2 linked regions of the Drosophila melanogaster genome follow. Each later gene encodes a partner of the first gene's protein in a complex. Each region holds a gene or a part of one and is shown in the gene's direction. Other genes may lie near its edges. The genes, in order: cnk and ksr.

Region 1 (16,126 bases):
GAGACGCCGCATATTTTTCGCGATTCCATACGCTTGCCCTCGTAAAGGACACCTTGTGGAGTCTCCACTGTTGTTTTCTTAAAGGGAAATAAGCTTAGCGCATATTCAATGACTAGCCGTATCAGGCGCTTTGAGTAAAAAATAAACTCATCGCGGGACGTATTTCGGCAACGGATGAACGTGTGCAGGCCCTTTATTTGGGGCGTGGGATGCAGCAAGTGCAGAGAATGTGGCATTGGCTGGTCCTTGTAGGAGTTGGCCAGAGTTTCGCGCAGCTTAAATCCGCGCTGGAAGACAGACAGACAAATTAACAAGGTGAACAGCACCGCAAGCAGGCAATTCATACCAGTTGCAGCTGTGTGTGCACGTGCTGAACAATGAGATGGATGGCCACCTTGTTGTCGCCTCCACGAGGAACAATGATATCTGCATGGGCCATTGTTGGAGCTATGTAATTGCAATAGGAGGGCTTAACCATATTAAGGTATTGCTTCAGCACGCCCTTGAGGTCTCGTCCGCGCTGAGAGATGTCCCTAAAATTGAACAATTGATAACAAAATATGATAATCAAGGTAGGCAGAGCCGAGAACCATCACATACCTTCTTAACCGCCTGGCCAGACGAATATCGGGATCTGTGTCCACAAATATCTTCATGTCTAGCAATTTAAGTACTTCAGGACTATGAAAGGTAAGAATACCCTCGAAGATGATCACATTGGCCCCGTACATGGTTTTCGTTTGGCTCTCACGACCATGTGTCACAAAATTATAGACAGGAACTTCCACCTTTCGGCCCTCCTTCAGCTTGGTGAGCACGTCCAGCAGCAGCTCGATGTCGAAGGCATCCGGGTGATCGAAGTTATATTCGTTGATCAGGGCCTGCTCATGCTGTTTCTCATTAAGGATCTACAGGATTAACATAATGAATTCAGTCAATGTATTTCGTCAACTAAATTATAATTCTCCAACCTTGTAGAAACAGTCCATGGACAACAGTGTTACCCATGGAACGTCTAGGCTTTCGATGATTTTCTCAGCCACTGTGGTCTTGCCAGAGGCACTACCGCCGCAGATTCCTGAAGGAAATTAAGCACATTAGAGAGACTAGAAAGATTTGTTTTTTGGGAGTGATGTGTTTACCTATGACGAAGGGCTCCACCTGTTGCCCAGCACAATTGTACCACGGCGGTCGTCCGGCCGTGTAGATCGTGCGGTTATTTGCGCGTATGATGCATTCGGACGGATTCGCTGTGGTGGTCTGGTTGCCAATGGATGTGGTTCGCTGTCTCCTACCGGAACGTTTAAGAGGCGAATCCAACGATGCTTTAGCAGGCACTGTGGTGGGCGAGGCCGGACAGCAGTTGAGATCCCCGGGCAAGCCATTGCTTAGGTCGGCATACGGATCCACATAGAGTTGCTCTGTGACATCCGAGAGTGAACGGTCATCGCTGCAAATAGTACGTATATAGATTAGTTGGCGATTATCAAGTTCTACACTCCCACCATTTAACGATGACGTTAGCCACAAGTAAAATAATTGGAATTCAGTGATTAGCCATGAGATAACATTTTTATCACCTAGCACTGATTAATTTCATAATAATTTTAAATATTTTGATATGTACGAAAGAGTAGATTACAGAACGTGTTAGTGAAATTTCTACCATGCCGTACCAGCTATTGCAATGCAAGCTTAAAGCTATAAGTTCAAGGATGCAGTATACTCACTGACCTACTCTACTTTAACAGCCCCCATCTGCACACGTATTGACACCCACACAAACGCGAGAAACCAGGCATATCGTCGACGTAAAATTAATCTACTGCTCAATATGTTCTATAAATAGACAAGTTACTTGAGGCCTTAATTGAATGTGATAGAAGATAACATCGTTACGTATTATCAGGTTAATTCTTATATGGCTTTCAATGAGAACAGCTAATACGTTACATTTACAGCTCCCTTTATAAATCACGTTGGTATAGCAAAAGTATTGCAGGAATATGCAGTAATATGATATGGGAATATTTGTGATTTGGCATGAAATACGATATGATCATGATGGGTTGATATCTAATACTAGTAAGTAATATCTAGAAAGAAGTTGGCCGTTAAAACAATAATAATAGACAATAACTAGGGCCAAGTACATGCAAAAACACTCATCATACAATTCTGGGAAGATTTCAAAAATAAGAAAACAGGGGCCGGCAGACAAAGCAACGCTAGACGTATCCATTTATCGAATGCTGCGTAGGCGCGTTCGTTGCACTCATTCTTTCCGCCTTTCTCTGTATCTTCTGCTCTTCATTTGCGTACCAAAATGAAATTCACCACACGGAAAGAAAAAACTGAGGATATATTTTTTTAGAATTCTGCAGAAGGTCAAAAAATGTTGTCAAAATTTTAGAACAATATTTATCATAACATAAAAACGATAAATATTAAAATAAGTTTGGGGTACTTGTGATAAAATGTAAATTTAGAAGAATCAAAAATGTTTCATTTTTCTCTCAGTGTGGGGCCAACAATCTGGTGACGCCACAGACGAGATTCCTCCGCATATTTTTAGTTTTTGCACACCAACAAAAGAAGCGAGAGATGAGCGCTTGCCACGTGTGCCGTGCTCTTCCCAAAAAAGGAACCAACAGGTTATGGCCTTCCAGGCGGGTGGGACAAGGACGGCAAGCGGGAGTTTCCTGGCGAGGGAGATGCAGGACATTGGGAGCCAAAGGGAGGCTAAGGGAACTGGAAATGGCAAACGTGGCTCATGTGTGTTGTTGTGATCGCTGCCATGTTGAAGAATCGAGAGAGCACTTGCTGACGCTATCATCGTTTCACCATTTGTTGTTACTTGCCGCGCGGCAGACTCAATAAACAATGTTAAACACAGCAAGCGTTAATTAAACACTGAGAATAGAAAGAGACGTCGCGAAACGGGAGACTGGACAAACAAGCGCAGCACCAAAACAATTAGAATGGCGGTAAATAACACACACAACAGAAACAACAAAAAGCACTCAAATACAAACACACACACACAAATATGCCTCTCTACAAATGAATGTACAAACATACATATATGAACGTCTGGTATGTAAAATGGGACTTCGATTGGTTTTTACGTTAAGAAATGGGGAAAATGCAATGAATTACATGTGACCATTGGTTTTGGCTGCTATAGCCTTAACCTTTGACTGCTGATGATGCTGTTGTTGTTGTTGCTGCTGCTGTTGATGTGGTTGCTGAAGTAGCTGTTGCTGCTGGTGGTTTGCGATGGTTAGTAAACCGGCGGATGCGGCTGCAAATGCTGAGTTCGCTTTTGCCCCTTTTGGAACATCGTTATTGCTACTATTAATGCTGTTGTTGTTGGTGTTGTGGCCCGACTTGCTGCACAAAAACGTGATGCTGCTCATTTTTAGCCCGATCCCGATCTGCCAGCGATTTTGAATCACTCAGTCCGTCGGCGTGGGCGTGAGAACTTGGATGTGGAGGCAGCAAGAACACAGCAACCGGCGATGCCAAGCCAAAATGGGTCACTCACTCACACAACGCTCACGCGAATCGCCGCCGGCGTGGATCACATGTGATTTAGAGTTTTTATTTCGTACGCAGCGATTCACCTTTTGCGTTGCGGCCAATATTTATTCGATAACTAATGAAAACAAAAAATTAAGCCAAAGGTGTAGCGAGAAGTGCGAGGTGAGCGGCGTTTGGGGATTGAATGACAAGAAAAAGTGTTAAGGCAGCTAAGGTTAAAAAGCTGCGCTGCGCTGCGGTTTCCTCTGCCGGCGTCGTCTCTGCATTGTTGTTGTCGCAAGCCTTCATAGAGGTGGGCATGTGGTACATGAGGTTTGGCGTGACACGACTCAGTCGAAGATGTGCTCTACATTTTAGCCAAATTTGCATAACAAATGTCTCTTTTACTTTTGTTAAGTGAAGGATATTTAATTTGTTAGAGAAAAAAATATTCTAATTTTTAGGCGCATAAAATCATAAAATATTTCACGCTACATATACTTATACACAAGTAATTTTTTATAGCATTCCACGGATCGCACCAAAGTTATTTTAATAATGTTTCTGTGGTATGAATATTATTTTTTCAAACTGCAACATTACAAGTTACTCGCTGACGCGCCCATCCCTAGCTTGTAACTGTTCTCGCAGGGTGTTCGCTTTGCCTTCTCTCTCACACTCTCTTCCGATCCGATGCAACCGGCGACTATATCGAAATTGAATTTATCACATGTTATGCGTTTGCACATGTAGTGGTGTTTGCGAACGCAGGCCCTATGCCATTTTCCCAGCATTTATTTATATTGCGTGATTAGAGGCCCCACGACGCACACATGTAAGTAGGTACGTACGTACATACGATGAATGACTTGGAGCACATGCTCTTTAGATATGTTTGTGCGCGGGTGTGTGTGTGAGTGTGTATCACATTCTAATGACTTCTGTTGGATTTTCACACTTTACTTTTGGCCGTGCGTGAATTAATGCGGCATTAAAAAGTCGTTCGTTACCTGTCGGAGCTAGCGGAACTCGATGGGTTGTAGAACTTGATTTGTTTCGTCTGGGTCACAGACATTTCGACAAGAGAATAGTGATTGCAGCAGCCAGTTGCAGCGATTAGAAAAAAACACGCGGTGATTTACTTCGTCGTGCCTCTCCCTCTCCGAGCAAGTGACTGATTCGTTTCTGAAGGCATTGCGTTGGAAAAACGTGCGCCGCCTTCGTATACATACATATGTATACATCTACCCGAGCTTGAATGGTCAAGTAAAGTGCTAATTGTCAGCTGGGGAAAGGCACTGGAGCGGAGGGACGCTCATTGCCTTGTTTATCTCCATTTGATGCTGTCATTGAGGCATTTATTTATATGTTTTGGGGCAATTCAATTCCATTCGCAAGGCGCTCAGCTGTTTGATTGGGGCGGCGACAGTGTTGCGAAGCGCTGTTGGCTGTTGGGTTGCAGTAAATTCGAATGTGAATGGCTAAATCCGAAGCGGGGTTTTTAAATGTTTGATAATTATTACTTCGAGCTTGTGTCAATATAAGTGAATATTTTACATAAAACTTTGTGGTTTCTAAAAGATTAGCTTACAACATGATCTTTAGGTACTAACAAATAAAAGGTTGTAAATAGCGGTAGTGCTCGGAAAATATATCAACATGAGACAATTACCAATTCGATTATTTTTTGTTGGTCCTCTATCGATAACTGTTACTCTTACTCTCTTGCACTGCAAGCCAAATTCATATTAATTAAGACTATAAAAATAAACACATACAGAAACATGTGGCTGTTTCCTGGCTATCTTGGATGGAGAAAGTAGTATGTAGTAGTATCATAATTTATAGTTTTCTTTCCTCTTGTTCTGTCCCTTAAAGAAACTTTGAATAAATTGCATTTTGTTCAGTTTTAAAATGCATTAAATAATCGATTGCCACGCTAGTTCGATAGTATTTAACGAGCACCGAGTATTGTTCGAGCTCTAAAAGATGGTCACTCCGGACCAGAGAGACGCAACAATATAGCAATTCTGAACTTGGTTCGAGTGTTTTTGCAGCACGAATTGATAATATGCCGTAGGTGCGGCCCAGCGCGGATCATCAGCAGCAGCAGCGATGGCCTACATCAACATCGCCGAGTGGACGCCCGACCAGGTCACCGACTGGATAAAAGGTAATGCTCGAGGTCAAGGAAAGCGCAGCTGAGAAAAAAAAAACTGCATCTCGCAGCCACTGCCCCAAAAAGCAGCAGCAACAACAAGTGCAACAAGAATTTCCGCTTTGTTCAAGGTTTCAACAGGCACATCATAATAATTATGTTTTCCTGATTCTCGCAGGTCTGGATGAGTCTATGAAGGGGTATTTGTACGAGTTCTCCAAGCAGGAGATCGGCGGACGGGCGTTGCTCAACATACGGCCATACGAGCTGGAGAATCTGGGCATGCTGCGCATTGGCCATCAGGAGATCGTGCTGGAGGCGGTGGAGAACTTAAGAAACTTCGTGAGACCCCAAACAAATATTGTGACATACAAACCCGTTAATTGAGCTTGATATTCCAGCATTATCACCTGAAAAACGACAATCTGCAGTTCATGGCCTTGCATGTGGCCACGGCAGCTAAGAATCTGCATCGCGAACTGGCCAGGAATCATGCGGAGAGCACTAAGATCGATACCCGGATACTGCACGATATTACCAGGACGATAGCTACTCTAAAGCCATTGGTGGGCAGCCTGGAGCGAACACCGTTCCGTAAGCAGGAGATGTACCGCGAGTATTGTGGCAATGTGCTCAAATGCGGCCTGGAGCTGGCCACAATTGCCCACCGTGATCGTTTTGCCCTGCAGCCGGTGCCAGCGATTCGACAGTCAGCGGAACGGCTCGAGAATCTTGCCAACTTTGTAATCCAGGACATATCTGATCCCATGGTACTGCAGCCAGCCTCTCTGAACCTTGTCACCCTTAAAAAACGCGAATCCGAGTTGGGTTTCAACATAGAGTCCAGTTATAATGGCATTCACCGTGTCACGGATATCAAGTACAACTCGCCAGCTCACAATTCCGGAAAAATCGAAGATGGCGACGAGATTGTGCAGATCAACTACCAGACCGTTGTGGGCTGGCAGCATCGCACAGTACTGGAGCATCTGAGGGAAGCACTTCCAGATGTGGTGCTGACGGTGAAGAAACGGCCGAAGCACACAAAGATGTTTGGACAGATCTATATGCAGCCGTACAGGTTGCCCAGCAAGAAGAGGAATATGGCCGCCCGCTGGGCGGCACAGATGCCAAGTCCCCGTGCTGCATTTTTAACCCTGGACACGGAGCAACTGGCAACAGGAGGAACAGGAAGCGCGGTGCCAGATCCCAGTAAATCCCTAAGCAGTGAGAAGAGGGAGGTACTTACCAAGGCCAATCCAGTGTCCTCTGCCTCCGACTCTGATTCCAGTTGCAGTGATATTCCAACACCAACGGATCCCAAGCTAGCCGCACGGGAGATCCGTTTGTATTACCCAAAGCCAAGAGCTTTGCTCCAACGAAGAAACACTATTTGTGGATGCGAGTATCTTAGCCTGAAAAACTCGGATCTAGTCGTTCCATCGTGGCACGAAAGAAAGCCAGGAATTGGTTCGCCCACCAATTGCGACCCTGGCTCGCCCAGTATACGGGATAAGTCGATATCCTTCGGTTATGGCCTAGAGATGGCAGCAAGGCCGACCACTTGCATTGGGATTGCGGGCGATACCTCCACGGACAAGGCCAGGCGAATGTTTCATGAGGCGCGAAAACTAAAGCAGCTGACGGAGGACTCGCAGCGCGAATTCCTCGTGGATCGTTACAAGCCGGGTGTCAGCAAAGTAGTTCGGTTCGACGCCAAGGAAGATTATGTGATGAAGAATGAAAAATTTATCTGTAACGTTGAGAACACCATACTGGAGACCTTTGAACCGATTCCCTTTGCGGATGAGGGAGACGAGGACGCCTTGGAAACGCTGCGCAACTGCAAAACAGAAAACGCAGAGGAGCTCCTAGAGGCAATTAATCTGGCTACAAAAGGTCAGGACTTGCCCCTGGCCGAGGCCATTAACATGCCTTTGTTGCAGCAAGGTCGAAGGGGCCGATTAGACAAGAGTCATAGTACTCCGGCATACGATAATTCGGGTGAAGAATCGGATACGCCGCCAGCGATTGAGCCAAGAAAGGAGTTCCTGCTTGTCACACCGCCAGCACCGCCACCGCGACCCCGCAAGCAAAGGGAAATGACGCCACCGGCGGTGCCTCCACCTCCACCAAAACCAGCCAGCATGCAGCCGGCTAGTAGTATCACCAGTATCTCCATTCCCGTGCCAGTACCTGTACCAGCCGCAGTTGATCCATCGGAGATCAGTGAGCTTCATACGCCCAGCAAATCCCGGACACTGACCCTTAAAAAGAAGCACAGCTTAATGGCCAAGCGGCGGAACACAAATCTCAAGCTGTTGGGGACTGGGGATATCCAAGGTCATCTGTACAGGCGCAAGAAAAATCATCGCGGAGTGACTTACTGGGCGAGAATCTATTTCGTGATGCTGGATACGATACTGTACGGATTTCGCAGTAAGCAGAGTACCAGCGCCAGCTTGGTAATATTTTTACCGGGCTTTACGGTTTCATTGGCAAAAGAAGTGCACTCCAAACCGCATGCCTTTAAAGTTTACCACACGGCCAAGAGCTTCTACTTTGCGGCCGAGTCGCTGGACGCACTTAACCAATGGGTGGACTTCTTGCGCCAGGCTTCGCTCAAAGTGCCGCCTAGTACGGGTTCAAAAGGCGGTGGTGACGCAAAGGATTTGTATTCGGAGAACGATAGCTCAGGCGAGGAATGCGATGCCCTTGTGATCCAGAATTTAAGCACGCCCTCGCCGCAAGGCAACAAGGAGTCAATGTCCATGTCGATGACACTATCTGGCGGAACACCACCTTCCTCTGCACCCATTAAGCATGAACGCGGCTACTTGGACTCGTTTCGCAAATTTACGAATACATTCAAGAGCAGTGCAGCGAAACCGTCGAGCGACATCCCTGTGCCAACGGAGCAATACCGCAGCTATAGGAAGGTGCCAGGCGGAAGTTTTGGCATTCAGATTGGTGCCAATACACCGGGCTACCATGATCCCGCAATGCCGCCGACACAGATTCCACCTTTGGTGGGTCCTAAACTGTCGCGTAGCTCAAGTAGGAGTTCGGTGGTCAGTGGAACCGAGTCTGCCGTATCATTATCTGCTTCGATTCTGGGTCCGCCCGCGTCGCCAGCGCCAACGCCCACGCCTACAGCCACTCCCACATCGCTGCAGCATCAGAGCTCCGAGGAGAGTCCAAGTCAGAGCCAGAGCCAGAGTCCCAGTAGCAAGTCGAGTTTGAAGAAGGCACCATTCAACTTCTTGCACGCCTCAAATCCGAATTTGGTGGAATTCGATTTCCATACCTCGAAAACACTACTCCCCAAGATGAGTGTGGGTAATACACTCGACCATGGCCATAATATACAGGGCTTTGTGACGCTTAAGGATCTGATGCTGCGCAAACAGGAGGAGGAGGCCCAGGAAATGTACAACAATCGAGTGCACTTGGGTGTGGAGAAGCACAAGCACGCACGGACGGAATCCACGGCCAGTCAGCAGAGCGCCATGAGCAGCAGCGTGACAAAGCCGCTGGAAAAGTTGCCCAAGATCCAGAGCGTGAGTCTGCCCAAAACACCCGACTACGAGATCAGTTTTAAGCCTGACGACGAGAGTATTAAGAGAACCAGAACTAAGGAAGGTCAGAAGTTGCGCGACTTTGGTTACGAGCTGATATGTGGGGATGAGCCGAGCACTAGCTCCATCAGCCGGCAAGAGCACCACCATCATCATCATCATCACCAGCACCACCTGCAGCATGTGCAACAGCAGCAGCAGCTACAACATCAGCAGACGCAGCAGCAACATAGCAGCAAGGCCAAGCACTTCTTGCGCTCACAGCAGTTACAGCTCTCCAGTTTCCTGCACAAGAACAGCAGCGGCGGCAGCGGCAAGAGTTCCGGATCCGGTGCGGATCAAAAGAAGTCCAAAGGAAAGTCTAGCGGCGATCGTCGGTTTCCCTTTTCCAAGCACTCAACTGGCTCCGCGGGCAGTGGCTGTGGGCCGGGTCATGCGATGACTATGACGCTGCCGCTGAACAAGAAGTCCAAATCGAATCACGCCTTGGATGGAGCCGTAGGCAATGGAGTCACCATAATCGGCAGCGGCAGCAGCATCAAGAAAAGCCAGACGTACAATCAGGATCTGCGAGACAAGATAGTGGGCACCAAGTACGATGCGCATCGCAAGAACTCGGCCCCGATACCAATCTTTTCGAAACTCTCCATATCGGGTGGCACGCCGGCGAAGCCCTCCAAGGAGAATCGTTTCCTGGGCTCACCGCTGCTGCATCGCACGCTGTTCGGGCACCATCACCATCAGCAGCAGGCAGTAACGCCACCAAGCAGTGCGGATCCCGATTGCGATCAGGAGATCTTCTCCCAAATCACCCTGCCCACGCACAATCAGGCGGGATATCGAAGTTACCGTGGACCTGGCATACTAACCACCTCGACCACTAATTTGTGCTCGTCGGAGGGCTTGCAGCCGCCGTTGCCCCCAGCGCCACCGCCTCCCGTCAACACCAGCAGGCAGAGAGAGGAGGAGCAAGCGGAGGCAACGATATCAGAGTGTGCGGCCACCCCAAAAGTGTCCAGTTCGGGATCTGTGGATTCGAAGGCGGCAACGCCGGACTATCCAAATATGGAGTGTCCGCCTGTCTTTGAGCCGGAAATCTACTCGCTCAGCGATACCAGCTTGTCCCGCATCGTGATGCGGACGCCCAGCAGCAGTGGTGCCACCAGTGCCACCGCCAGCACCACCACCACCAACAACAACAACAACAATAATAACACCAATAACAACACCAACACCAACAGCAGTCCCAGTGGCGGCGAACACCATCAGACCTAGATGTGTGATGAAAACTATTGTGAATGCTCGCGGGGATTAGCCCCCGTTTACTTATGTATTTATACACACGCATATAGATATATATATATATATTATATATAGCGATATTCTCGTACGATTTAGGTATACAACTTGTTCATTTTGATCGTCTTCCCTGTCTGTCCACCAGAAACAAACACACGCATACCTGCAATCCCTTCGATTCGAAACCCACTTAGATGTAAATGTTTAATCTGCCTTATTTGCATTGTATTTCGGTTCTAGGCAAAATGTTTTACACATGTAGTCACGCAAGCAAAACAATGAATTATAGCGAAAATGGAGAATAACTTTAGAAGTCTGTGCATCGAACAAAGACGGTTCTTTATGATTTGCCTTTGTACGCGATTAACCAAGTTAATCCGAGCTGTTTGATTTGCTCAACAGTTTGTGTCTAGATTGCGTGTAATATACATATATTATTATGCGAAATGAGATATTATTGTAATGGCATCCAGCGACGCCAATGGAGCCAGAAATGTTGTAGCGGAATGCAAGAAATATATATATACACAATTACACGAAATATACATGCATACGAATAAAGTCAACTGTACATAATAGAATAACGATCTTTTTATTTTGGGATTTTTCAAGAAACAGGTTGTTTCATTAGAGGAGGATTGAAAATCTTTTTATGCACGCAACTTATTCAAAGACCTAAGAAATGAGAATCTCTGGACAGAAGTGCTGAACCCTGCTTCTTTTTACTAATGTAACCAAATCAACTTGATCAAAACGAGTATTACCTTCTATTATTAGTTCGATTTAGAATCCCTTTCTTTATTCACATTACATTTGAAATTAGATCAATTTAAAACCACTGCCGCTTACGCAATGTTCTTAATGTGCTGCTCCACCTCCTCCTTGGTGAACATGTAGAACTCTCTTTCTTTCGTCATGGTCATCACCTCCACATTGGTGGAGTTTAGTTTCTCCTCCATAACCTGTTTAAGTGTGTTGAGCGAAATGTCGATAGCCTCATCGAGAGTCAAATCGGGTCTAAATAAGTCCTGCAGATTCTGCTGAGCACCTTCGCTGCCCGAGCCAATGGCCTTGGCTCCGTGGCGCACGAATGTGCCGGAGGGATCCATGTGCCACAACTGGGGTTGTCCCGCCTCGATGCCGGCAAATAGAATGGCCACACCAAAGGGACGACTCATGGCGGCGGCACCATCGCTGTCGCCACTATCACCGAACTGGATGGCCAAAGTGGACACAGCCTGGGCGCAGGACTCGATGGACATGCGCTCGTTGTAGACGAACCAGTGGTTCTGGCACTCCACGCGTGCCCTCTCGATCAGAGTCCTGGCATCGGCCATCAAGCCGGAGGTGGCGCAACCAATGTGCTTGTCCACCTCCACAATCTTCTCCACAGTACTGGGTACCATTAGCGGCGAAGTGATGCGCTTCTCCACCGCCAAAACCACTCCTGGAATGCAATTTTACCATTAGATCTCCGCGTGTACTTATGGCAGCAAAGAACATACCTTCTGGCGTGCAAATTCCAATTGCTGTGGAGCCCAATTTGATGGCCTCAATGGCATATTCCACTTGGAAGAGGCGGCCCTCCGGCGAGAAGGTGTTCACGCCTCTGTCGTACTCGGAACGCGTGAGAAACATGGTGGGCTGTAATTTAGTTAAGTGTTATGCACGCTGGTTGACAAATAACACTTCGAAAAGGGCTTACTTTTCTATAATTTCCTTAACAAAATCGCAAACAAATGCCGGATGACTTGACGCTGAAATGACTTGCGGATAAAGTGCCGTCTCTGATTATATCGATAACTAGTGCTGCCACATTATTCGATTGATAATATTACTGTACTAAACATGGGTTGGCAGCTCTGCATCAAAATTGGTTGATCTGGCAAGTTTGTCGCTGTTAATTTTTACACATATTTAAATAAAAAATTAAATTGATATTTTAAGTTTTCATTTACAATTACGATCACAAAGAATATTTTGAAGAAGTAAAAGATTTTTAAGGTATTTTCAATATAGTTTTTAGAAATCTTAATCTTATAGGTTTTTGACTGAATTAACTGAAAATAGCTCTGCTGCAATGCCAATCAAGTTTCTTGCATTTCCCGCTTTAATGCCCAAATTGACATGATTGCCATTAAGCCTTTAAATGGTTATATAAGTCAAACAACCAGTTAAGTGTTGGACTACTTCAAGGACCCGGTTTAATTACCAATTTCCAGATACGTTTATTACTTGATACTGGCTACTATCATCTAAATATCTATTTTTAATTTCCGATATATTTTCATTAGCTTCACATACGAATCAGTGTAATGTGGACTAAAGGAAGCAGTTGCATAACAATCGAATTAAGAGATTTACTTTCACATTGGCGGCTCGTCGGTTTGCCCGACTGTCCAATTATGGCAATTTCAAATCTAATCACACCCCACACGCACAGTCTCCAATGGTCAGAAAATCCCCGCGTTACAAGAGAAGCCATGATTGAATGGAAATGGAATAACGATTGGGTCAAGGTTGCCATCTTGTTTTACCCTTCTTTCAAAGATAAAGCGAACGTGCGCCACAAGATGCGAAGATTTCTGAAGATTTGGGAGTGGCGCGAAGAGAAGAGCAGGGGAGAAGTATTGCCACCATTTAACCAAAAAAAAAAAAAATACAACTGAAGGTCGTTGACCAATTGCAGTGCGCGGGACAGGGAGAGCATCCGGCGTGTGCGAGCGAGAGAGACAGACACTGCAAACCCGTTAATCAGACCGAAAGAGCCGTTAATCGCCCCGAAGAATTGCAATAGCAAAATGGTGCAAAAGTTGTTAGGTTGACGATGAGGAGGGGGCGGGAGAGGTATAAAGTGGCGGACAAACTGGACAATGGGCAATTAGCAGGCAAAAAAAAGCGGGGCCTAAATTTGATTATGAAATAGAATGGGCATGTAAATGCTATGGCCTGTCTTCCGCGTCTGTCGTTTTTTCTTTTATTTTTTTTTGTTTTCGATTTCGGGCTTTAGCCAGGCTGGATTGGCGAAAAATAAAAGAAAATGAGAGTTACCTGGCTTTTGTTTTAAGTCGTTGTGTTTAGTCGAATTGTTGCTATTGCCACACGATGGATTTTAAAATAGCCAACTGCGGAGCTAAGTATGTTTTCAATTTAATGACTGCAAGTGATTGCACAAAATTCCAGGCAACCAGGCAGCCAGTCAGACATACATCACATAATGCGCACTTGCGAATACGTCGCACATGCATCCACGGGATCCGATGGTATATCCAGCAGATACATACATATGCATCTATGTATCTATACATATAAACAGTCACGCCGTGGGCTCCCACAGGCGGCACAAGTGGGCAGCAATCACGATCGGCCAGGGAGCCACCAAATTGCCAGTTGTGGCAGCCATGTGTCAGGGGTTTCGTTGCGGACCACCAATGCATCCCCTTGCCCATGCAACTAGAAAATCCATTGACCCAATGCTGCTCCAATGATGCCAAAAAGTGAACCACACTATGCACTGGAAAAGATGCGGAATAGGACTCCTAAGCTAAGAAAATATAGGAAAACATGAGATAAACTCAAAACTTCGAACACATCTAGAAGATTCATAGTTTGAAGAAGATGCCAGTTTTTACGGTGTATATCTTTTGTGGGCCCACTCACCAAGCTGAGATGCTGTGGATGACCCCATAAAGCTCTATAAGACGATATGAAATACAGATATGTGAAATATATCGAATATCCGAACGCATTGTGCTACATTTAACCTTCTTATTGTCTCCGCCACTTACCACATTGGGCTTATGTTTTGGCTATTGGATTTCGGTGAGTTGGGTTTGCAACAAAGTTGAAGTCAATAGCCGCAGGCATTTGCATAATCCCAGCCACTCGAATCTATATATCATATGTCCAGGTGTGGGACCAACAAGAAAACGGAAGCCTCGGCCACCAATTGGCTATGGTTTTTGGCCAACAAATCAAAGCCACCGCCGATTTTTGATGTGGGTCTGTGTACCACTGATTTCCACTTCCTAGCTATTGTCTGGTAGGATAACGACCCGGTTACCTTGTTGTAATATCTCGAGTGCAGGAGTCGTGCCTCCAGTGGCGTACATTCATTCCCTCCCTACCACCCCGCTGGTGGAAAATGAAACCGAAACTTGTTTTCATATAACACCGTTCCCCCGACTGACTTTTCATTACTAAGCCAAAATCCCCAACAACAACATCAACAGCGGGCAGCAAAAGAGTTGCGAATGCGCCGCACCGTCGACTTGCGTTGCGAGATATAGAAAGACAAGACAGTCCAATTTTTCGGTGTATATAAGCTGAGTGCAGCGGCTCAGCGATTCAGTCCCAGCTTGGATCTCGTTACCCGTGCAGCACAGCGAATTGTGGAGTAATTGTTCCCCCGTGAGACGTCGAATCAGCAGCTCAACAATGCGAATGGTAATGGATTGTGGATAGTTTGCGGAAGTGCAGAATCCCAGCGAGGATCTAGTGATTCCCAGTGATCAGAGTGTGAACCGTGCCTATATCTTGTACATCCATTGCAGTTCGTACTTCCTTGTCTCGCCGTGTGCGTGGCATTGGCCCATTGTGGCGGAGCCGTTGAGGATAAGAAGGCCGAGGGCGATGGCAAGACGGTGGAGAAGAGAGGACTCCATCTGGGCGACTACCACCACTACCAGCCCCACCACGAGCACATCAAGACGGTGACCATCGAGAAGAAGATTCCCGTCCCATACACGGTCACCAAGCACGTGCCCTACACCGTCGAGAAAAAGGTGAGTCCTTAACCATCAAAGTCAGGCATTGATGATGTAGTTTTGAATCCAAATATTCTTAGCCCCGTGCCCTATAACATTTATCTTGAAACTCTGTGAAAGGAGATCACTATATGAGTCCATGTAACATAACTTTCATAATCTTTGAAATAGATCCCCTACGAGGTGAAAGTGGATGTGCCTCAGCCTTACATTGTTGAGAAGAAGGTGCCTGTCCATGTCAAGGAGTACGTGAAAGTACCCGTCCATGTGCCCAAACCCTATGAGGTGATCAAGAAGATCCCCTATGAGGTTAAGGTGCCAGTCGACAAGCCGTATGAGGTTAAGGTGCCCGTGCCCCAGCCCTACGAAGTGATCAAGAAGATTCCCTATGAGGTCAAGGTACCAGTGCCCCAGCCCTACGAAGTGATCAAGAAGGTGCCCCATGAGGTTAAGGTTGAGGTCCCGGTTCCCAAGCCATACGAGGTGATCAAGAAGGTGCCCTATGAAGTCAAATACGAGGTGGAGAAGCCATACGATGTGGAAGTGCCCAAGCCCTACGATGTGGAGGTCGAGAAGCCGTACACCGTTGTCGTAGAGAAGAAGGTGCCCTATGAGGTCAAGGTTCCCGTCGACAAGCCCTACAAGGTTGAGGTGAGTGAGGATCAATTAAAAAACGTATAAATCGAAAATAAATCAATACAATCTTAATAAAACCATCATAGGTTTCATGAAATTCCATCAAATATCACCCACAACTGTTTAAACTTAACATTTCTCGCAATTTTCAAACCAGGTGGAGAAAC
Region 2 (16,301 bases), on another chromosome or scaffold:
TTTCCCGAAGTGCCTGTAGATAATAAGGATTGTTGTCAGTAGCGTCATAATTATACATATTATTTCAGTGGTAGTGGCAGTCGTCTACATCTTTCTGGTTTTTAAAATCTGCGAGATCACAGCGTTCATACGGACGGACAGACAAGCAGATAAACGGACAGACGGGAATTGACAGATCGACTCGGGCTGTGATCACGAATATATATACTATTTAGGGTTAAGAGTATATAAACATACTTGAGGATGGCAACTGTTGCTCTTTCTCGCCCCATCGGCTCTTGCGCTCGCGCTTCCTACGCTGCCTCTGCGACTCCTTGTCGTCTTGGTCGTCCTGGTCATCGCCATCCGGCGGTTCTCCGGATGCAGCCTCCTCCCGTTCGCGCCTCTCCTCGTCGCTCAGCTCGTTGCGACACTCAATGCGGCGCTTGATGTTGTCCCGGTTGCGATCCATCATGCCCCGCATGTACTCGTCATCCGAGTCGAAGTCCGCGCTGATGGCCGACTCTGGGTCGTACTTGTCAGCCGCCGAGTTGCTGTGCTGCTCCTCGCGGTGTTGCTGTGCGTCCGTCTGCTCCGTCGCCTGCGGCTGATGGTCCCGGCTTAGCTTCTGATGCTCCCGCTCCCGTTGTCGCTCAGCCCGCTGCTGTTTGTAGTCGAGGAGTTGGTCGCTATAGCTTCGATACTGCTCGCAGCTCTTATCATAAAGAAACCTATTATCAAAATTCAAAAGAAGTGAAAAGTACAATGAAAAGTGCTCGACGTTAGTCACGTGTACAAAGACATTATATGAATAACTGTTTGAGGCGCCCCAATAGCGGCTTATTCAGAGATTATTAGTTGTCATCCGCCGGCTGGCTCCTCCAGACTTTAGATGACGATCGAGGAACGACGGAACACTGTGCGCTCGATGAGTCCACGCGACTGGTCTGGCTAATCCTCCTACACCCCCATCAAGTTGGTCCGTTTTGTCAGATGTTACATGGCATTGGTAGTATTAATCAGACATCTAACTTAAAACGCATCAAAGAAAAACATGTACATGTCCACTGTTTGTGATTTTAAATTCACGATTGAGTAAGCGGAACGGAAATCTGTGCGTCTGTGTGTGTCGTGTGAAATATCGGAGTAATGGCAATTAAAAACAACCAAACTATAACATAAATCGGACTAATTTTTAAAATTCAATTGTTACTATCCTAAAGAACTGGCACTTATACAATGATTCAACTTGCGAAAGCAATTAAGTAAACGTGAAAAATCCCCAATTAAGACGGACTGTACGACCCCCCCCCCCCCCCTCCCCCGGTCCATCCCTTATGTGCATCTACTACCACTAGTCCCAGTTAAAACATGTTTAGGTCATTTACCACAAGGCCGGATGCAACTCGCTTCTATGCAAACGTATTTTATCTTCATAATCTTCACCATTTTCCGCGACCAGTGCGATTAGGTTTTCTAAGCACGTTGGCAATTGTATGCACGTTTCTGAAAAAACTACATAAATTGCTTTAAAATCGTGCTCAACGATTAAAGTTCTATACAAATTGAATGAGTAGGAAGTTGGATGTGGTTAGAATGAGAGTATATATTGGATGTGGATAGGGAATGGAGATGGCAAATCAAAACAGGCAACGAGGACTGTTTTGCAAGTGTTACACACCTTGTGGCGGCGCAGCTGTGGGCTGAGGTGGATGTGGAGGTGCCACCTGCTGGCGCTGTTGCTCCATTTCCTCCACTACAGGTGGCGGCGGAGGCGGTGGGTGTGGATTCACTGGCATGGACATGCGGTCCGGCAGGAGGCCAAGCTGCTCCGTCGAATGACCACCGATGCTGGGCATCTGGATAGCCTCCAGATTTATTTGTGGCTTAGGTATGGCATTTAAGTCAAACTCTTTGGGCGCCGGTATGGCATTCAGCTGCATAGCCTCCACTGGAGACGGACCAAGCTGCATGTAAATCTGTCCCATGTTGGTCAGAGCGATGGGCAGCTGTGGAGGCGGTGGAGGTGGCGGAGGAGCAACTGCCGCCGGATGCAAGTGCAGAGGCAAATGGCCGTGGAAGAATGCAGCTGGCAGCTGCATCTGCGGTGGTCCCTGTTGCAAAAGCGTAGGATTGAATGCAAATGGAGGCGGCGGTGGTGGCTGCACTGCTTGCACGGGTAGTCCAAAAGCCAAATGAGTTGGCGCCGAGCTGGTCACCGTAATGGAGGTAGCCATGGCTGCTGCCGAGCTTATGGCGATGGCCGCCTCTAGCTGGGGACTGTTGTTCTGCTCTGCTGTTTCCGTGTCCACGGCTTTGTTCTCCTCGGCGCTATAATTACCCACAAATTAATATACATTAATATTTTTACGATAGTGGACTCACCTGGGCACTGGAACCGGCGGAACAATCAAGGGCTGCGGAGGCTTTTCGTGCTTTTCGAGTATTTTCTTGAAGTTCTCTAAAAAGGAACCATCGTTGCAGAAAGTGTTTTTAACCTTCGGTGGTGGCTGCTCAACACTGGGCTGAGGCAGCTGCTGACGCTTCATGCCAAATGTGATCTTGCCCGTTTTGCCAGTGAAGCTATTCAGCGTCTTGGGGGCCACCGCGTCCTCCGTCTTTCCCTTGCTGGCCGTGGCCTCAATGTGAACAGCCTCCAGGCCATCCTCGCCGGCCGCTAGAGAGGTGTCCTGGACGGCGGTGTCCAGGTATCGGGCATCCTCCTCATACTCCACCTCGTTGCCAATGGGTTTTCCCACAGTCGTCTCGGTTTTCAGCTGCGCTGCCAAGTTCTGCGCCGCGGCCACCGCCTTCGCCAGCTGTGCCGTCTTCTGCTTCTCGAGGATCTCTTGCCGTTTCTTGGCTATGATCTCCTCCTGCTTTGTCATCTGGGCGAAGCGGTCCACTCTGTGATTTCGCTGTGACATAATTCCCAATGCCGCAGACTCCGTTTTATTCCACAATTTTCTTTTCCAGCAAAGCAACAGTGTAACCAACTCACATACTTGGAATTATACCAAGTCTTCGCATCACCAGTGTTGACAATTTTATAGGAAACTACACTGTCAAGCTCTCTTTAGTTCAGTTCAAAAAAATTTTAAAAAATATAACTTTCTAATGAAAGTTCAGTTCAAAAAAAAATTTTAGAAGAATAATAAAATAAACAATTTTAGAATAAAAAAATTATGTAATAAAAAAATCCATCTTAAATTTAAGATAAGACCTGTGCGGCAGTTAATCTCAGTGGTCTAAGGTCAGCAATGATCGAATATGTATTTATTAAATTCAAATTTCAAAAACACCCGTATGCAGAGGAATCGATGGCGATAACAATGGTAACAAACGCGATTATCTTACGAAGTAATTTCCAAACACTGGTTTATAGGGAACAAACAAATGTACCTGTCATTATAAATATTTTGAGACTTCCTTTAACATATAATTCTCTTTGGCAGTATTTAATTTAGTGGATTAAATTATCCATTATTATTTCGTAAAGCCACTTAAGAAGAATCACCTTGTAAATATTTATAAGGATAAACGTTTTTACGTAGTTATAAATTGACCTAAATTTGCCTAAAAAGTACAAGTTGCTTAAGGGCCAATTAAACTAGAGGGTTCGGGGAATAATATGAGTTTTCACATCTGCTTCATTTCACTATTGATACTTGGGTATAATCAATCCCTTCAACATATCAAAGCTGTTTCCATCGGGCTGCACAATTTCTATAGTACCAGTTGGTAATTTCACCTCCAAAAATCCAAAGTCATCGATTCCCACAATTTCGGCCTCTTTTTCCTGATCTTTTTGTAGGCAAATCTTAACAGATTGCCCGCTGTACATAAAAACATGTTAGTAAATGTAATATGCAAATTAAATGTATTTTAAAAATGTTTTAAATTTACCTGTGTAACCATAGCGAATAGTATAATGCATAAAAACTATCAAAGTCTCCGTTTTGTACTTCTCCCAAAAGTCTTTCGATTTCATTGAATATCATGGCAATAAGTAGCTCGTACTTAAGTATAGGTAACTTGTTGTTCGGGACACGGGTATTATATTCTCTTATCAAGTCATTGATGCAAACTGTTGGTCTTGAATTGTTCAAATTAATTCCACTTCCGATATTGACGATGGCTTGGGATCCCTGAAGTGTGGTATTAATGACGAGGCCCCCAATTTTCTGATTTCCATTTGCATAAATGTCATTCGGCCACTTAATGGAAATATCCAGCACCTGAAGGTGATATGAATAAATTAAGTAAAACTCGCCTATCTCCGTAATATTACATATCATAAAATATAAATTGGAACATCAAATATTAACTTAAAAAAATTATTTTTAGTTATAAAATTAAAATATTAAAATAATATCTACCTAATTTCCATTTCCAAATAATAAAATATAAATATTAAAATATTTGACTTATTTCGACTAATAAAATAAAAATGTGAAAATAATTTCTGGATTAATTTTTCAAATAGAATTGAAATATATATGCTATATACACTCGAAGACATAATATAATTACAACATAAGAATAATAATACTTAACGTTCTATTTTTTTTAAATACAGAGGAGTGCCCCTAAGTTTTTCGGATAAGTGCTTTTAGTACATTTTGGTGTGCAGTGAGAAGGAGTCCTCCCGGGTATGGTCACACTTCTCTCGATGCGCTACTTGGGTGTAGAGAAATTTCAACAACAGCCGAGGAACTTGTACAAATTATTGCTTTTTCGCATTGCCTAAGCCGTTTAGAGTTGCGGGCGTTAGCGTGCGCGATAGCCGGAGCACCGAACGTCAAGGTCGCTTGGCGAGGGCCACAATGCGGGGCGGAGTCCCAGCCATTGGTCCCATCGAATCGTCGAGTCCCCGAGGGGGCGTCTGAAAAAATCAATCGGGCTCCACTCCGTCGCGAATAAGCAGGATGAGCAGCAACAACAACGCACCCGCATCGGCTCCAGACACGGGCTCCACCAATGCCAACGATCCCATCTCCGGTTCGCTGTCCGTAGACAGCAACCTGGTTATCATTCAGGACATGATTGATCTCTCGGCCAACCATCTGGAGGGCCTGCGAACGCAGTGCGCGATCAGCTCCACGCTGACGCAGCAGGAGATTCGTTGCCTGGAGTCGAAGCTGGTGCGATACTTCTCCGAGCTGCTGCTGGCGAAGATGCGGCTAAATGAGCGCATCCCGGCCAACGGGCTTGTGCCCCACACAACGGGCAACGAACTGAGGCAATGGCTGCGCGTAGTGGGCCTTAGCCAGGGGACTCTTACCGCCTGCCTTGCTCGCCTGACCACTCTAGAGCAAAGCCTGCGTCTCAGCGACGAGGAGATCCGTCAACTCCTGGCTGACAGCCCCAGCCAGCGAGAGGAGGAGGAACTGCGACGCCTGACCAGGGCCATGCAGAACTTAAGGAAGTGCATGGAGTCGCTGGAGAGCGGTACTGCGGCTAGCAACAACGATCCAGAGCAGTGGCACTGGGACTCCTGGGACAGGCCCACCCACATTCATCGCGGCAGTGTGGGAAACATTGGACTGGGTAACAATTCAACCGCCTCCCCGAGAACCCATCATCGCCAGCATGGTGTCAAGGGAAAGAATTCCGCTCTGGCCAACTCCACCAACTTCAAAAGTGGCCGCCAATCGCCCTCAGCGACAGAAGAGCTGAACAGCACACAGGGTTCCCAGCTGACTTTAACCCTTACGCCCTCGCCACCCAATTCGCCCTTCACGCCTTCCAGTGGGCTGAGCAGCAGCCTTAATGGAACACCACAGAGGAGTCGTGGTACCCCGCCGCCAGCTAGAAAGCACCAGACCTTGCTGAGCCAGAGTCATGTGCAAGTGGACGGGGAGCAATTAGCCCGCAACCGTTTGCCCACTGATCCCAGCCCCGATAGCCACAGCTCCACCAGCTCGGACATCTTTGTGGACCCAAATACTAATGCCAGCTCCGGAGGAAGTTCCTCGAACGTGCTTATGGTGCCATGCTCTCCGGGCGTGGGTCACGTGGGCATGGGTCATGCAATCAAGCATCGTTTCACCAAGGCCCTGGGCTTCATGGCCACCTGTACCCTGTGCCAGAAGCAGGTCTTTCACCGCTGGATGAAGTGCACCGACTGCAAGTACATCTGCCACAAGTCATGCGCACCGCACGTACCGCCCTCCTGTGGACTTCCACGAGAATATGTGGACGAGTTTCGGCACATAAAGGAGCAGGGAGGATACGCCAGTCTGCCGCATGTGCATGGCGCGGCGAAAGGATCCCCTTTGGTAAAAAAGAGCACCCTGGGTAAGCCCTTGCATCAGCAGCACGGCGATAGCAGTTCGCCGAGTTCCAGCTGCACTAGTTCCACGCCCAGCAGTCCGGCGCTGTTCCAGCAAAGGGAGCGCGAGCTGGATCAGGCGGGCAGCAGCTCTAGCGCCAATCTGTTACCTACGCCTTCGCTTGGCAAGCACCAGCCGAGTCAATTCAACTTTCCCAACGTGACGGTGACGAGCAGTGGCGGAAGCGGTGGTGTATCGCTCATCTCCAATGAACCAGTGCCAGAGCAATTCCCCACGGCGCCTGCAACAGCCAACGGAGGACTTGATAGTCTGGTGAGCAGCTCCAACGGGCACATGAGCTCGCTCATCGGTAGCCAAACTTCAAACGCTTCTACTGCGGCCACCTTGACGGGCAGTCTGGTCAATAGCACAACCACCACCAGCACCTGCAGTTTCTTTCCGCGAAAATTGAGCACAGCCGGTGTGGATAAGAGGACGCCGTTCACCAGCGAGTACACGGATACCCACAAGTCAAATGACAGCGACAAGACAGTCTCCTTGTCTGGAAGTGCCAGCACGGACTCGGACCGGACACCCGTTCGTGTGGATTCAACGGAAGACGGAGACTCGGGACAATGGCGCCAGAACTCGATCTCACTCAAGGAATGGGACATCCCGTATGGTGATCTGCTTCTGCTCGAGCGGATAGGGCAGGGACGCTTCGGCACCGTGCATCGAGCCCTTTGGCACGGAGATGTGGCGGTTAAGCTGCTCAACGAGGACTATCTGCAAGACGAACACATGCTGGAGACGTTTCGCAGCGAGGTAGCCAACTTCAAGAACACTCGACACGAGAACCTGGTGCTGTTCATGGGAGCCTGCATGAACCCACCATATTTGGCCATTGTGACTTCATTGTGCAAGGGCAACACCTTGTATACGTATATTCACCAGCGTCGGGAGAAGTTTGCCATGAACCGGACTCTCCTCATTGCCCAGCAGATCGCCCAGGGCATGGGCTACCTGCACGCAAGGGAGATCATCCACAAAGATCTGCGCACCAAGAACATCTTCATCGAGAACGGCAAGGTGATTATCACGGACTTTGGGCTGTTCAGCTCCACCAAGCTGCTCTACTGTGATATGGGCCTAGGAGTGCCCCACAACTGGTTGTGCTACCTGGCGCCGGAGCTAATCCGAGCATTGCAGCCGGAGAAGCCGCGTGGAGAGTGTCTGGAGTTCACCCCATACTCCGATGTCTACTCTTTCGGAACCGTTTGGTACGAGCTAATCTGCGGCGAGTTCACATTCAAGGATCAGCCGGCGGAATCGATCATCTGGCAGGTTGGCCGTGGGATGAAGCAGTCGCTGGCCAACCTGCAGTCTGGACGGGATGTCAAGGACTTGCTGATGCTGTGCTGGACCTACGAGAAGGAGCACCGGCCGCAGTTCGCACGCCTGCTCTCCCTGCTGGAGCATCTTCCCAAGAAGCGTCTGGCGCGCAGTCCCTCCCACCCCGTCAACCTTTCCCGTTCCGCCGAGTCCGTGTTCTGAGGGAACTGCAGCATGGCCACTGTCACTGTCTAGTACAATTTCGATCTACCAACTAAGCTAGCTCGCTTTGTGCCCTCGTCCACTCTACACAAACTCTCTCCCAAGGCGAAGTTCTATCGAGCCGAGCGAAGATTGTAAATACATAAACGTAACTACCAAATTATAGCAATCCATTTTAAAAACTACATACATATGTGTAGGCATGTATCGGGAGCACTCCAGTTGCAGTTGTTAGCAAACGAAACAAAGGCAAATCAAATGTTAACTCGAAAAAGACAAAACGCTTAAATGTTTAAGAGCAGAGGCAAACAGAGAAGGCATAGACATACATATACAAACAAACAAACAAGCACTGTGGCAAACATAAATGTAAACGTTAATCAGGTGAGCAATTTCTAAATTGTTAATTATGTGTAAGAGAACTATATATATATATATATATATATATATATATATATATATATATATACATGTATATACAGCAGCAATGTATTGTATATGACGGACTAGTGTTAAATTAAATATATATTGTGAATTATGTATGGTCAAGTGTATATAGTAAATGGACTTTAAATGCGAAATCGAAACAAAATGTCAAATAAACTTATTAAACCTAAAAAATCACTTTGTGCACTTGGCAGTTTTACAGATCCTGAGGTTCGTCCCATCGTCCCACAGGCGGAGATAATCGAAACAATCTTAACTTAAGATTCAACTAAATGGTAAAACTTTACAGTCTTGACTCACCCCGTACTCTTCATGACTGCGGAGCGAATTAACAATCGCCGTTCCAACAAGGTGCTGCAACAGAGGCAGCCGAGAGCTCAAAGCGCTGTCCATGGTCAGGTGCAGCTGCAGCGAGAACATGGCACAGCCCGGCGGACTAAGCCACTGGAAAGCACAAAGCGATGATTTCAACAAGAACTTAAATCTGGATGCTTCTAGAGTACTAACTTGATTATTTCTGCGACCCACTCCGGACGTCTGCTGCACGGGGAGCACAGCCAGGCCGTGGATGAGCTCCAGGTTGTTTATGAGATGCATGGAGCTGCTGACCACCGGTGCATAGATGACCAGTCGTCCGATGTGTTCCGTCTTAAGATTCTTTAAAATAAGAGGAATTTGGGTTAATTCTGCTATAGACTAGAATTAGAATGCGCTCACATCGAAGTAATCCACGGTGGAGAAGTCATCCGGACAGGAATGTATGAGTATGGGCAGGACATTGTTGTTGGCCACTGGAGGCTTATCGTCCTTGCCACAGAACTTCATCGTCAGGTTCGGCGTTGCTATCACGTTGTCGGATCCGCTGCAGCGCAGACGTAGCTTCTCCAGAAGCTCAAACTTGGCCTGAATAACAAAAAGAGCTAGAATATTGGATTCTGATGCCAAAACAAATGGAGAGACGAACTGACCTCGTGCCGACCTAGGAAATATGCGTGCTTGTAGACAACTCCAGGCTGCGGCTGGTCGACACCGTCTCCACCGCGGACCTGCACATCCAAGTACTTTCCCAGGAGATCCGCAAATATCTCGAGGCGAGTTCGCTCGTTTTGCTTTAGAATGGAGTACTTAGTCTCATCGGATTCAAATTCGCTGGGATTCATTTCCAAGTGCACCTGTTTTTTTTTTTGTTTCATAGGAATGTTTTTTTTTAATATATGTTTGTTATATTTACATGAGCAATCACTTACTTGGGAGAAGACGGCCTTTCCGCCGCTCTGCAGGCTTTTGGCCAACATCAAGCTGGGCGTATTCCAGGTTTCCTCGGTTCCCAGCACATGGACATCCAAATTGTGGCTGTGACCGGCCAGATCCTTCAGTTCCATGGACCTTGGACATACTAGAGCTCTGAGCAGCGTTTCGTGGTTTGATTTGTGTTTTTTTTTCGATTTTTGTTTGTTTTTGGTTTGTTGTTATTTTAGTTATTGGTAGGATGGATTATAATAGTGATAGCACACACATATAGAAGCACACGCAGAAATTTAAGGATTTAGAAGGTAAACGTAGCAGGATGGTGAAAAGGTTTGAAATGCCAAATGTTTATAACACAATTAAACAATTAAATTACATGGATGGCACATTCAATCGATAAAAAACAAGAGTTAAGAGAGCTTACAGAAAACATAGATAGGTTAGTTAGTTAGGCGGATTGAAAACGGAGTTTAGATAGATGGATTACAGTGCACACCGAATCAAATAGAAATTAAGCCATATTTAGAGTAAACGAGACCAATTTGAGCATGAAACATTTGAGAAATAAAATGAGAATTGGAATTGGTTAGAATCGGTTTAGTATAAGAACGATTAATTAGGATTAATTCATTTCATTTCAAGCCCCATTCAGAAAAAGTAATAATATACATAAATGAAACAAGACAGGAGGTTGGTTTCGGCAGGCCGAAGTTCATATACCCTTGCAGAAATTACATATGTATATGTCAAGAAAAAATATAATACAAATTAAAACGGGAATTATATATTCCATTTTTATTTCATTTATTTTTCGATTATTCCTATGGAAGCTATAAGAAATAGAGGACCGATTATTCCCTTTTCTTACTTACATATTTCAGGAGGAAGTCTTTTCATGCAAACAGCTTTAAAACTGAGAGGCTAGAATCCTTAAAACTGGATGAACAGACGGACTTGGCTGGTAAAACTGATCAAGAATGAAGAAAGTGCCTTTTAACCCTTTAAGCCCTGAAAACTTCTGACTGGAAGATATATACCTTCTGCAAGGGTCTAAAAAGTAAAGCGTTATAACTTGGCCTCTTTTTTACAATTTACCCGACGGCTGTGCAATAATCGACTTGAATAGGGCTTTCGGGTGTATAAAACATGCAACATTTCGGTTTCAAATACACTGATACTCAGTTAATGGGCTATTTGTTATTGGCACTATTAAGAAGATCGGCAAGGTTAGCAATGTGTTTTGGTCACTGGCAGTCTGGATGGGAGCAGCAATAGCTACTTACGGTTTGCGAGAGTGCGACTTGGTGGACTCCTCGCTGTCAGTGGAGAAGTGCTTCTTCACCGGCGACGGTTGGTAGCAAAAGATGTGGTGCATCATCTTGACCCGCTGCCACTTGTCATAGGAGAACTGAACCAATTCGTGCTCTCGAACCTGTAGAACACGGGATGGATGTTGGCGAATTTGGGTATATTTTCCACAAAACAGAGTCCTACCTCCGCTGTGCGATAGTTGGGGAGTACAAAGTGCAGTATATCCGAGCACAGGCTTAACACCTTGCCGCCCTGCAGAAAGTAGTCCACCAATATCTGCCCAATTCCGTGTGCCACCGATCCGCAGACGACCAGCAACGCAGTCTGTTCCGTCCAGTATTTTTGAGCCGCTTGCTGAGGCATCAGAGGATAGATCGTGTACACATTGCGCTCCAGCAGCTGCTGCAGAGTGGCCAATGTGGATTCCCGCGCACTGGCGCTGTCTGAGTAGACCAAAACATTCAATGGTTTTGCGTCCTGCAGGCTATCCTTGTTGCGTTGCAGCACAGGACGCGAGGGAGCAGCTCTGGATGACGGAGGAGAATTTAACGGCTTTACCGCCTCAAAGGATTTCCTGGGCTTCGTTGGCTGATCTGATGCCTTATCAGGCTCATCATGTTTACTTAGCATAGGTGGTTTAGCTAAGAAAGCAGCCTTGACGGGAGAGACCTGGACTGCCTCTTTCTTCTGCTGCTGCGCTGCCTGGACAGCCGCTAGTTTCTCTAGTTCGCTTGTCTTTAATGCACCCTTAGTTGGCGTTAACTTGGAGTCCTCTTTGCTTGTGGCTGGCGTGCCCTCGCTCTTGGCAAGAGTGGCGGGTTTGGCATCGCTTTTAGTCGGAAAAGGTTTTGTTGACGTTCCCTTGGCCTCGGCTTTGAGCGAGGCTTCTGTCGTCCTTGCCGGAGACAGATATGCCTTGTTGGTGGGCTCCACCACGGCCACAGCCTTGGCCAAAAGCTCCGAAGTCGGGCGTTGATCATGTGTGGTGGGATCCGATTTCGTTCTTCCCTCAGAGCGATTCCTCTGGTACTCGAACTCGGTGGCCTGGTGCGCCAGCACACCTACGGCACGCAAGTCCTCCATGTGCTTCTTCCATCCATCCTTGTCCAGACCGACGCTTATGCGGGATTGCCGCTTCAGATGCTTGGCCAGAAGCTCAAAGGGCTGCGGATCCCCTTCCCGTTGCACCGCTGGGAGGGAGAAACAATAAATCAGTGGGATTTTTAAGATGAAGTCAAATTCTTAAAACGATTTCAGGTGCAGCTTACACTCAATCCGCAAAAGTGGCAGCTGATCGTTAATGCATAAATTATTTCTCAAGAAAGTCGTTATCAAAAGTTTCGTGAAGTGCTCGACGTCTGTTTCGATGAGCACCGCCAGGTGGGAATCTATTTTCCAAGCAATTAGCTTACCGTAATCTTCCAGCTGATTCATGGGCCGCCGACATGCAAGAAGAAGAAAGGACACACGAGAGGATACCCCTAGTTAGTGTAGTCGTATGTATGTATGTATGACGCCAGCGCTCTAATCGATTCAACCATGTACATCTTAATAAGATTACCGCACGCAACACCGTCCACATTGCGGCGTCACCCGAAGGTCGATTGTCCCTATCTGTTCTCATTATGATGATACAAAGTGGGCTAACTTTAATTACGGTAGCATTCTTAAGATACTTTGGAGTAATATTCGTAGTCCCCCTTTAATGGTGAATTCCAAACTATGTAGTTAAAAGTCCATTAAAAAGCTATTCCTACATCCTGAAGTCTTTGAACTATTCTGTTGCAAATAAACATGTATAAACATGTATTTGTGGACTCCGAATTGTGGCAATTAAACATTTATAACTTGAATTTGCTTAAGCCTTACTGTTTTTTATTGATGGATTTGGAGATTAAAAAAAACGCAACACGCCGTCGGGTTAACTTACCCGTACTGCTGATGTGTCCTCGGAGCTGGGCCGCTGTAGTGGCTCTATGTCGGCCTCAAGGAGCAGCTGCATCCGCTCCTCCCCTTGGGCAGAGAGCGAAACCCGTTGTTGGCGCGGGACGTCCGCCTCCGTGGGCGTGGACGCCGGCGTTAACGTGTCGGCGGCATAGGAGAAGGGAAGCAGACTGGGCGCCGGCGGAAAGCTGATCCAAGGCGTGATGTGTAGCGTTTGCAGCGGACGCAGGCAGCAACCCCGCTGGTTGGCGTGCAGCCACAGGATGTCCGTGACCTTGGCCGCGTTCCGATTGCAGCACAACTCCGAGCTGGCCAGGGCGGGATCTGTGGAGGAAGCAGGCAGTCTATATAAGCGTGAACGCCTTCCAATGACGCCGCCACTTACCGAATCCGTCATCGCTGCCCGATTGGAGGGTATAGAAGGCGATGCTCGAGGGCTGCGCGAGGTGCTCGGCGATCTTGGAGCACGCCTTTTGAATGCGCCAGGACTGCAGGACGGTGGCACTCACGTAATACAGGGTCAACATCGCAGATTTCTGGTGGGTACTGCTTCCTCCGCGGACTCAAAGTTTTTTGGGGACTAATTCAGAAGCCGGGGCACAACTTACATATTGATGGGAACCAAAATCAATGGCGGTTTCGTAATTGGCTCCGATTTTGCTCGGCTGGCGGATTTATCGGTTGCCCAAAGGAGCGCTTCCTGATTCGCCGTTTTTAGCCAGTTGACACACTTTCTGCATTCCCTTGTCCACTGACTTTTATTGTTGATTACTGCATTCTCCAATTCCAATACTCCAATACGCGTATTCCAATATTCCAATATTCTCTATCACGAAAATTAGCGCGAGCAGAGTCGAATTAGAAAATCAAAATAGAAGATAAACTAACTGGACAGTGCTGCCGGCCCGGCGGCTTTCGGTCATATCTGGCGGGTTTTTTTTTTGGCAAGCGTACGTTCGTGTATTTATTTCATTTAATACATTAGGCTTAAAAATAAACCTAAATGAAAACTAAAAGACACACGTATATTTTACAACATCTAGCCTTCCTTACATCGACCAAAAATAAAATAAAACCACATGCACAGAGAGACTTGTGAATTGAGCAGAACAAAAATTATAGCATCACCATAGGGATGCTCTCGTGACGTGACTGTGCGTTTGTACATCACTAGCTATGTCCATTTTTAGTACACTATCGGCGCACGCCGCTTTAAGTTGTCTTCAATTGGCAATAAGTTAGCAAATTGATATCTCACGATTAAACAAAGGTACCCAAAGGTGACCACGGGAGCGGCATGCTGTTGGGCGAATACGACACAACCCGGCGACTCCTTTTCATCGTGGCCGTTCTGCTGATTGTCCTGTATGCGAAGACGTACCTGCTGCCCGGCGAGGATTTGGTCCACAACTAGGGGACTACGGCGTCCCTGCAATAACCGATCCAATTGAGAAGTTGGCGCGATGACGGACCGTAGGGTGTCGTACTTCTACAACGCGGACGTGGGCAACTTCCACTATGGAGCCGGGCATCCCATGAAGCCGCAACGCCTGGCGGTCACTCACAGCCTGGTAATGAACTACGGACTGCACAAGAAAATGAAGATCTACAGGCCGTACAAGTGAGTTGGCGGAGAGGTGTGTCTGTGCCGCGTAAATTATACTAATCCGGAATTCTTTGCAGGGCCAGTGCGCAGGACATGCTCCGCTTCCACAGCGACGAGTACATCGCCTACTTACAGCAGGTGACTCCACAAAACATTCAGTGCAATTGTGAGTTGAAGAGGAAGTCGCCCAATTGGAATAACATTTAGAATAATCTGATAATTTTCTGTTCTTAAGCCGTGGCCTATACGAAGTACCTGGCGCACTTCAGCGTAGGCGAGGACTGTCCCGTGTTCGATGGCCTCTTCGACTTCTGTGCAATGTACACGGGTGCCTCGCTGGAGGGAGCCCAGAAGCTGAACCACAACCACAGCGACATATGCATAAACTGGTCGGGCGGACTGCATCACGCCAAGAAGTTCGAGGCAAGCGGATTCTGCTACGTGAATGACATCGTCATCGGCATTCTGGAGCTGCTTAAGTACCATCCTCGGGTGCTCTACATCGACATCGATGTGCACCACGGCGACGGGGTGCAGGAGGCGTTCTACCTTACGGACCGAGTGATGACGGCTTCGTTCCACAAATACGGAAACTACTTTTTTCCCGGCACGGGAGACATGTACGAGATAGGCGCCGAATCGGGACGATACTACAGCGTTAATGTGCCGCTAAAGGAGGGCATTGATGACCAGAGCTATTTTCAGGTGTTCAAACCCATAATTTCTGCCATTATGGACTTCTACCGGCCCACGGCTATCGTTTTGCAGTGTGGCGCGGATTCACTAGCTGGAGATCGACTAGGTTGCTTCTCCCTGAGCACCAAGGGACATGGTGAGTGTGTCAAATTTGTGAAGGAACTGAACGTACCCACATTGGTGGTCGGAGGCGGTGGCTACACCTTACGGAACGTGGCCCGCTGCTGGACGCACGAGACCTCGCTGCTGGTGGACCAAGACATTGAAAATGACCTACCCGCCACCGAGTATTACGACTTTTTCGCCCCCGACTTTACACTCCATCCAGAGATTAACTCACGCCAAGATAATGCTAACTCAAAGCAGTATCTTGAACTCATCGTTAAGCATGTGTATGAAAACCTTAAGATGTGCCAGCACTCGCCCAGCGTCCAAATGGTGCAGACCCCGCCTGATGTGGACTTGGAGGAGCTGCGCAGCAACCGGGAGGAGGCGAGTGATCCCGACGTGCGAATATCCGTAGCCGATGAGGACAAGCTGGTTGATGCTAAGAACGAGTTCTACGACGGCGATCAGGACCAAGACAAGCCCGATTCGGCAGAAAGTTAGTATTGGATAATGTAGAATAAGGATTCGAGTTTAGCGTAAGCAGTAAAGAGTATCAGCTTATTTTGTAACATCGTTTGGAACTATTTTTTTTGGAAGTAGCGCGTAGAAGACAATAGGTTTTAAAATCGACAGACACACATTTATTTGGGATGCATAATGGTACTTAATAGGAGGATTACATTAGTGACACATTGCTGGATCGGCGGAAGATCACCAACCAGTTGTGGTATTGGCCAGTCGTCGCATTCTGCGCGTGTTGCGGTCCTGGTCGCGGATTTTCTTCTCCATTTCGGCGTCGGTAAGCGTCTCTAGGAATGGCGCCCATGCGTCAGCGTCGCTGGGATTCCGGAAGGGCACATCAATCGTTGATAGAGGGGCCTCGCTGAAGGCGTACGTTCGACAGTGCCACGATAGCTGACCCCTAATGCTGTAGGCAATGGCCGTAACAAACTCTCCTCCCAATCCCAATTCCGCACAGAGTTTAATGGCAAACTCCTCGGGGTTGTTGTTCTTCTCGGACATGTCCCACTCGACCTGGTCGACGAGCGAGGTGTTGCCCACGTGAATGTTCAGCTTAACAATGACCCGCTGGTCGCAGGTCTCCTCGAGGATGGGGGGATCGTTGGGAAAGG

Evidence for each region.
Region 2: the proteins of cnk (region 1) and ksr are in contact, whole or in part, in a cryo-EM structure (PDB 8BW9), measured with the Drosophila melanogaster proteins. Residues at the interface, in NP_001286524.1 of Drosophila melanogaster: Lys79 (codon at 6,094), Asn80 (codon at 6,097), Asn82 (codon at 6,103), Gln84 (codon at 6,109), Leu88 (codon at 6,121), Glu183 (codon at 6,406), Asn187 (codon at 6,418), Ile190 (codon at 6,427), Gln191 (codon at 6,430), Ile193 (codon at 6,436), Ser194 (codon at 6,439), Asp195 (codon at 6,442), Pro196 (codon at 6,445), Val198 (codon at 6,451), Leu199 (codon at 6,454), Gln200 (codon at 6,457), Pro201 (codon at 6,460), His288 (codon at 6,721), Thr289 (codon at 6,724), Met291 (codon at 6,730); in NP_001287177.1 of Drosophila melanogaster: Arg900, Gly901, Met902, Lys903, Gln904, Ser905, Leu906, Ala907, Gln910, Ser911, Gly912, Arg913, Lys916, Asp917, Met920, Tyr925, Lys945.

The regions. Positions count from the first base shown.
Region 1 is NT_033778.4:17,408,980-17,425,105, reverse strand, and holds cnk (connector enhancer of ksr), read left to right. Parts: upstream 1-5,098; 5' UTR 5,099-5,637; coding exon 5,638-5,695; intron 5,696-5,858; coding exon 5,859-6,022; intron 6,023-6,081; coding exon 6,082-10,533; 3' UTR 10,534-11,136; downstream 11,137-16,126. Other genes in the region: l(2)k01209 (lethal (2) k01209), read right to left, coding at 1-287, 347-533, 601-908, 972-1,078, 1,143-1,450, 3,160-3,419; Prosalpha5 (proteasome alpha5 subunit), read right to left, coding at 11,403-12,004, 12,063-12,195; Vajk4, read left to right, coding at 14,995-15,003, 15,111-15,341, 15,495-15,974, 16,117-16,126.
Region 2 is NT_033777.3:5,472,244-5,488,544, reverse strand, and holds ksr (kinase suppressor of ras), read left to right. Parts: upstream 1-4,638; 5' UTR 4,639-4,907; coding exon 4,908-7,808; 3' UTR 7,809-8,555; coding exon of another isoform or gene 8,556-8,699; 3' UTR 8,700-8,762; coding exon of another isoform or gene 8,763-8,912; 3' UTR 8,913-8,972; coding exon of another isoform or gene 8,973-9,158; 3' UTR 9,159-9,223; coding exon of another isoform or gene 9,224-9,427; 3' UTR 9,428-9,502; coding exon of another isoform or gene 9,503-9,659; 3' UTR 9,660-10,155; downstream 10,156-16,301. Other genes in the region: CG31550 (uncharacterized protein), read right to left, coding at 1-13, 238-710, 1,368-1,494, 1,661-2,310, 2,365-2,906; Hcs (holocarboxylase synthetase), read right to left, coding at 3,638-3,815, 3,886-4,217, 8,556-8,699, 8,763-8,912, 8,973-9,158, 9,224-9,427, 9,503-9,659, 10,787-10,935 and 4 more; CG45100 (uncharacterized protein), read left to right, coding at 14,056-14,172; HDAC3 (histone deacetylase 3), read left to right, coding at 14,222-14,379, 14,442-14,530, 14,600-15,669; Snr1 (Snf5-related 1), read right to left, coding at 15,880-16,301.